Linked DNA regions of Mytilus edulis. The protein of the gene in region 1 interacts with the protein of each later gene in a pairwise test. Links are inferred from orthologs where the notes say so. Each region holds a gene or a part of one and is shown in the gene's direction. Other genes may lie near its edges. The genes, in order: U6 snRNA-associated Sm-like protein LSm1 and U6 snRNA-associated Sm-like protein LSm4.

Region 1 (3,939 bases):
ATTGGTATTGATAGTGATTTTGTTATCCCTCAAAATCAAACTAAATACTATTTTTATATACATATGCACATTCATGGCTCTACAATTTTTTGATACCTGTAGCTTTGCATTGCGCCAGGTCGTGTTTTTCTCTACATGTTAATGACGTCTATATAGATACACTAAATCCATATGGTATTGGACATGTACTGATTGATATTATAGTCGTATATGCATGATGTTTTGTTGTTGTTATCGGCTTTCTGTTTGGATTAGCTCTCAGTTTTTATTTTACTTAACCCTGATTAGTACTTGTTGCATTTTAGTTGTAGGATGTCACACTCCACAGGATCCGAATTTGATGATTTACACTTTTTACTTTTTTATTAGTGATATAATACTTATTTTTGTAATGCAATTAAATGATAACTTTAAACTCATTGATGACAAATGCTTATATAAGAGAACTTGTTTAACCAGTGGAACATATATCACAGACAAGGAACTTATTTCATCAGGTGAGGAACAAATCTCACAAACCCAGAACTTGTTTCACCAGGTAAGGAACAAATCTCATAAATCTCGAACTTATTTCACTAGGGAAGGAACAATTTCACAAACCCGGTACTTATTTCACCATGTAAAGTGTGGAACTTATTCTATAGAAATGGAACAAATTATATAGAAATCATCTGTGAAAAAAGTTCTCCCAGAACATATTTCCTGTCAGTGATATTAGTTCCACTGGAACTTTTTTTCACAGGAACAAATTTTGGCTCACATATTCAGCCACGTCCGATATGTTTGGGTTTTTTTTTGTTGTTGTGAGGACAGGTGTATTTATGCTGGGTTTGGCCCTTTTTAATTGATTTTTATTGTTTGTTCTTATTTTGTACTGTCTCGGGTTAGGCCGGGAGTTTGGGTGCCTTCTCATACTAGTTTAGCCATCGCCATATATACTGACTGAGTCTCGGTATGTGCTCCAAGTCAGGAGCTTATAATTCAGTGGTTGTCGATTGTTGCCGGGTATTTCAAAACATTTTTCGTTCATTATTTTGTACATTAATTAGGGCGGTTGGTTTTTTCTCTCTGGGTTGTTCTACATTAGTTATTTTGGGGCCTTTCATAGCTGACTATGCGGTGTTGATTTTACTCATTGTTCAAGGCCGCACAATGGCCTATTCTTAATTCTTAATTGTTGTGTCTTTTTTTTCTCTTGCGGAGAGTTGTCTCATTGGCAATCACACCACATTTTTTATACCGACTACAGTAGAAGGTACACATACATCTTATTTGACCAATAAATGTTCAAGTTCAGTATTCATAAATTATATAAATAATAATTATTATATAAGCCTTACCATAAGAAATTTCCTCGTACCATCAACCATCGTCAAGCGAAAAGAATAAATAACTCAAAAAGTTTAATTATGAATACGGCCTCAATATGTCAATAACATTTATTGATATTCAATGATTCTTTTTTCGACATACCATCATTTCTTTTTATTAGGTGAAAATGAAATATAACCTAAAATGCAAGAAATTATAATGTTATCAAACGTGAAAATATTTTTTTATACAGCAATAAAAATAAGCATTTTTTTTATTGTTCGTTTTTATCTAGTATTTCATATTTAACTTTATGGTATTAGACTTGACTGTCCTCTTTGTCACTCGTGCGTTTGGAATCATGATATTTATACTAGTACACGGAAGCAATTAACAACACCGATCATTGAAATTGTAATTTTGCAAAAAATGTGAAAAATGAGTTACCTACCTGGCACCGCAAGTTTAATTGAAGAAATAGATAGTATGTTTGTCAACATTCATAATATAGACAAATAAGTTGAAGGGAATTAACTTTTAAAAGAAAAATACGACATGTCGAACAAAGGAAAACGGTCAAAACGTGAACATGTTCATGGACAGAATCCCCATATAAAAATTATGGTAGTCCAAATAATTATGACGTCTTGAAAGGCTATTATATATTTTTCTTTGACTCCTTACATCGAAAAATTAAATAAAAGCCTTTCAAGACCGATGTAAGGCGTCAAAGAAAAAAGATAATATGAGGCAGGCATAACCTGTGAATGGGGACGGAAGCCTGTATGTATTATTTTTTTAATTCAATCACGTTGATAAAAGAAACCGAAATACCGTACGTAACGTTCACGATTTTGATTCTGTTGTTAGGGAATTAGCTGTGACGTTCTTTAAGTTATGACGTCATATTCGATGTAAACAAAAGAAACGCTTTCATCAGGTAACGTTTTTTTCATATCAAACAATTATTAAAATTGAATTTGTATTGAGATCCAATCTTATATTTTACTAGACTGATAAATATAAATTTTTTCAAAGTCTCATGCAAACAAGACAGATATCTGCGCAAAAGCGGAGAAAACCGGAACAGGAAGTAGATCTGAAAAAAAAAGTTAACGATTTTGAGTTCATTAGTAGAATGAAAAATCCGGGAAATTTTCCTGATTTTTTTTTTTTTTATTGATTTTTCTACCGTAATTGGGGACTTCGTCCCCATATAATAGCCTTTCAAGACGTCATAATTATTTGGACTGATAAAATGGTTACTATCTAGATTATGTACTATCCCTAATTATGGGTATTATACCCACAATTGGGTATCAATTTATAGTGATAAGCATTTGAATTTTGTATTTCATCTTTAAAACTGCCTTGACAAACGTGACGCAGATATTCATAACAGTGGCAAATCCAGAGCCCTGGGGTTGAACCCCACCCCTTTTTTGGCCGATCAATGCATTTGAATGGGAACATATAGTTGGAACCCCCCATTGTCCAAGGTTAGGAACCCCCCTTTTTAAAATGGCTGGATCCGCCACTGCATAAGAATTCAAAATTGCAACATTTCCCCTTCAAATTATAATAAAAATGCAGTTAAATTGAAAAATACAAAGATCATGAAGAAGATGCCCTCCAAATATCCTCCCTTTTGAAAATTGAAGGCTTTTAACTTTTAATCTGATGATATACAGACATGGGTTATAATTTCATGCATGACAAAGAACAAAGAAGCATTTATCATGTTTATATTAGTGCTCAAAAACTAAGCTGAACTACAATGTACTATTATATGATAATGATGCAGGTGTTACATGTGAAAGGGCATGAAGTCAGCAGATTTATATGAAAGTCAGGGCCTGAGGGGTACTACTTGTACAAGTATTGTTTTTACTTGAAGAAGTAAAAATTAATTACTTATATATTGCATAAACTTAAGAATCATTTTATTAAATACATTTGTACATGCATGTATACACAGACATAATAAAATTAAAATATTTTATCTCCTTAAAATATAATAAATTTTATTTGGGAATGAGTTAAACATGTTAAACAAATTTGCATGAAATCATATAACATGCTAGGGTCTATCAACACATCATGACATGTGCAACCAGAACAGGGTAATGTGCAAGCTAAACTGTTCAAATTTTGTATTTTTTAAAGTAAAGGATTTTGCAATTGGTGTACATGTATGTTCTATTTTCCCAAATTTCTGCAGTTTGATATAATGTGGCATTAAACATTTAACTGCATGTAAATAGGTCATGTAGGTGTGTCTTCTGGACCAGTATTATCTCTCTTTAAATTGTGCTTATTTTAACAGAAACTACAAATGTTATTCTTTAATATTGCAGAGAAGTTACTAGTTGTACTAAGAGACGGCAGAACACTAATTGGATTTCTCAGGAGCATTGACCAATTTGGTTTGTATTTATTTTCTGTTCCACCTGGCTTATTGTCTTTTGATGTCAACTTTTTGAGACTAAGTTCCATGTTTTGTGTGAATATATACTCATTATCTAAGTTTTAAAATGTGATAAACTTCCGGTGTTTGTTTGGAGACCAGGACATTTTATTTATGAACACAGAAACTGGGACATTATATTTAAATTTTAGAAGGTGGCA
Region 2 (3,939 bases), on another chromosome or scaffold:
TTTTTTTTCTCAGAATCAAAAACAAATTATTTTTTTCTCCAAAAACTGGAAACAAACTTTTTTTTCCAAAAAAAACCATAGCCGCCCCCCCCCCCCTCCCCCCCCCCCCCCCCCCACCCCCCCACCCCCAGAAAATCAAATGGTTGCTGCCTTAGATAAACTGTTCTCAGCACCGGGTATAACAAATGTTGACATGCATGATGCTAATCTTCTACGTTCACTATATTCGGTACAAATAACGACTTTTAACTGAGTAACTATTCACTATTTATACTGGGAACGCGGACCTCAAAGAAAGCACCATAGCAACAACTATACTAAAACGCGAACCTCGAAGAGCGCATGCAAGTAATAACTGTACTGGTAAAGCGTCATACATCAACTCTTTTTATGCTGTTTTTTAACGATTGAAAAATCAAATGGGATGATTCATAAAGATGTCAGAAAATACATATAAGTATAGAAATGTTATAACATTCATAAACTGGATCCGCCTATGCGTTGGCACCGTTACGGGTATGTGAACTCTGATCAGTGTTTATAGAATCATTTTTAAAATGTTGCCATTGATAACATAGAAATCATCACTTTCAAGTTGAACAAAAATAAAAAAGGTTTTGCCTCTTCAATTTACATAATTAAGTTAATAAAATTGTGACGAACTGTTTGATGCAGCTTTAATAAGACAAAAAACCATTGAATCATATTTGATTTAATGTATTATTACTTGTCAATGTATAACGACTAACTATCGTAAACCAAAAAAATAAATCTCTCTGCAAACCAAAAATACATGTCTTATAAAACATGATTTTGTCGTCAATGAAAACCGAAATTGCCTATTATCTATAAATTTTGATTACTGATCATTAAATGCAAATAAAATTAAATTGAAAATGATTTGAATATTGGGATAAACAAGCAAACAATTTAGTACATTTCGTTCTTCTTTTATATTCAGGTTCACAACCATACCATAAATGCGCCGGCAAATTCGTAGAAATTTCGATTCAGAAAATGGTACCAATTTAGCATTTAACTGGCCTATTTGTACATGAATTTATGTTTTAGCTTCTTTATTAAGAACAAGAAATGTTTTGTACTTGTTAAAGTAAACTATTCAATTGAAAACTCACAATTTTAGAGAGAGTTTCCAACGACAACACTGTCGTCCGAAACGGGCATGAAGTATTTGTTACTGGACGTTCAGGAAACCTCAATTAATCAATTCAACATTGTCCAATGTATGCAACACATGGTTGGCAAAGTATTACCCGCCCTGGAAAACCCAGGCGGGAAAAACCAGATTTTCCTGGGCTAGGCAATAGGGTATCAGGTCTGTTCGCGCCCAATACATTTTGGCACCCTACACGTACCAGGGGTGTGGAAATGCTATGCCCGACTCGTACATTTGAACAACCGGACAAGTAATTATTTTTGTCTTGGTTGCCCATGGACAAGTAAAAAAATATACAAAACAAAGTTCAATTCCAACAAAAATATAAAATTGATTTCAAAACGTATAAAAATGTTTAATTTATGTAAAAGAAACCAATGGTCAGCAAGTAAAAACATCAATGTTCATGACGATAAACATTACATAATACCGGAAATAGATTGATTACCAAAATAAATTAAAATAAGTATACGAACCGGAGTCACGTAAAATTGCATTGGCTTTGTCCATTGAGCCGGAATCATCAATTAGGTTTTATCCATCATTTACCGGAAGTGTCATTTCTTTCAATTTTGTATAATATTACAATTCAGATTGATAAACACTTAATAAAAAGCAGGGCAAGTAAGACAAAAAGAGTAATGAGTCGAGTAGAAAACCTTAAACGCAAATGGAGAACACAGAGTATTTAAAATATAAAAAAACAGAGAATTTCAGCCATTGTGGATATCAGTTTGCCGCTGGCTATCTAGGATGGAAATTCGCAAAATAAATTAAGTTTTTGTCTTATTTATTGATGAAAGGTCAATATTATGTGTTGTCGAAGTTTCAAATTAGAAGGGACTCTTTAATTGCTCATCAAGACAATAATAAATAATCTAGAACAAGAGTGTCAGTTTAGAGAAACACCACAACATCAATAGTTTAACTATTATTTACTAGTTTGCATTTCTTCAATTACTGTCCACTCCTCAAATTGAGTATATGTACCAACTGGCTACAATCTTTATTCAAAAACTGCTGCAAAATTGTCCTTTACATGTTGTTCATTGGTTGGTTTGCTGTTAGATTTCTGTCCCATTGATGTTAACCAATTTCTTACTTTCCTAATTTTTTTTTACACATATAGACAAATGGATTTCATTTGTTTGTCAGGCACAACAGTGCTTAGTAAGAATCACATATTAGCTAACAAGAAATACTTCAATATTTATTAGGATCATCAGGGCAAGTAACTTTTTTTCCGGACAGGTAAAATTTATAGTTTTACTTGCCCAGGGACAAGTGCTTACAACAAATATTTCCACACCCCTGCGTACGCACCTGGCATGTTCGCATCAAAGGTCTGTTCGCACCCTACACGTTCGCACCCAATTTAAAATCAAAGTCCAGTTGTCTTGAATAATTAGAATATCATGATTGTTGTTTTAAATTGCTTACATACATACATTTTGTAGTGTGAAATAAAGTATTTAATTGTTTAAATTTGAAATGCTTTGCAATCATATTGCTAAATAAACACCCGACAGGGTCATGTCATTAATACTTATAAAAATGAAAAGGCTGATTATTGTTATGTAAACATATCTGTGTCTAATCTGAATAATTACTTATTAATTAGTGATGTACATATACATGTTATAGATTTTGTAGAGAATTATTGAGAAAGGCTTTTTTCATTAATATTTGCCTAATATCACGAATGTGTCTTCATGTACACCTTTCTCATACATTGTAGTTGCTGAAATAATGCTTTCTCAAATGTATACACTTGTATTATAAGAATCTCAAACAAGTTAACTTATTTATAAACAAAATATGTTTATAAATATTTTAAATGTATTGCATTTGTGTTTAATCACTGCCCAGTGTTACCATGTAAAACCCAGTAAAACCTGGGTTTTCCCAGTATTTCCCACTGGGCTGGGCAATACTCTTTTGCCAACCTTAATGCAACATACGAAAATAATGACATTTTCGGACTCTGCAATATACTTGTCTAAACATAATTTCTTTCATTAGAAAGCTAAAACAGAATATTTGCAAACTTCAATAGACAGAGTTGTATACATTTTAACTTCTATTGTGAGGTTTTCACATACAAAAAGTACATGTATCTATGTTTGACAGTGACTACCAAAATCCTTTACCATCATGTTGACCACTTTAAAAGGTTATACATGTGTATAAAGATGATTTGTTGATGAAACCTTTTTTTCAGTGGTCAGATCCCTGTGTTAAATATATGAGCCTGGATACAAATGTAAATAAAACTTTACAGAGTGAATAAATTATCATTATGTGTCAGTAAAGCTCTGTTTTATTTTTCAGTTGCCTTTGTCCCTGTTGAGGACTGCTGTAAATCACCCTATGGTAAGTTTTCAAAATTTTCTCTTCAGTAAAACAACTAAAACTATCATTTGAAAAGTCTGACATTGTTCTTCTCTGTTAAGTTTATCAGTATCATCTGTGATACTATAATTGGAGCTAAACTGTCTTACAAGTGACACAGACAGACATCAAAAGTTACATTTATCAATAGGAACTCATTTTGATGTATCAGTCCCAATTATTTATGTCTCTAGATGACATCAAAAGTTACATATACATATAACAATAGGAACTCATTTTGATGTATCAGTCCCAATAATTTACGTCTCTAGATGACATCAAAAGTTACATATACATATAACAATAGGAACTCATTTTGATGTATCAGTCCCAATTATTTACGTCTCTAGATGACATCAAAAGTTACATAT

Evidence for each region.
Region 2: the proteins of U6 snRNA-associated Sm-like protein LSm1 (region 1) and U6 snRNA-associated Sm-like protein LSm4 interact in binary tests that used the Homo sapiens proteins (3 or more experiments, as listed by UniProt). The link is inferred for Mytilus edulis from reciprocal best matches to the Homo sapiens genes LSM1 and LSM4.

What each region holds. Positions count from the first base shown.
Region 1 is NC_092347.1:87,966,800-87,970,738, reverse strand, and holds the start of U6 snRNA-associated Sm-like protein LSm1, read left to right. Parts: upstream 1-1,640; 5' UTR 1,641-1,749; coding exon 1,750-1,795; intron 1,796-3,668; coding exon 3,669-3,737; intron 3,738-3,939. UniProt on the Homo sapiens protein: Plays a role in the degradation of histone mRNAs, the only eukaryotic mRNAs that are not polyadenylated. Probably also part of an LSm subunits-containing complex involved in the general process of mRNA degradation.
Region 2 is NC_092344.1:91,104,266-91,108,204, forward strand, and holds the start of U6 snRNA-associated Sm-like protein LSm4, read left to right. Parts: upstream 1-904; 5' UTR 905-1,017; coding exon 1,018-1,020; intron 1,021-3,508; coding exon 3,509-3,550; intron 3,551-3,939. UniProt on the Homo sapiens protein: Plays a role in pre-mRNA splicing as component of the U4/U6-U5 tri-snRNP complex that is involved in spliceosome assembly, and as component of the precatalytic spliceosome (spliceosome B complex).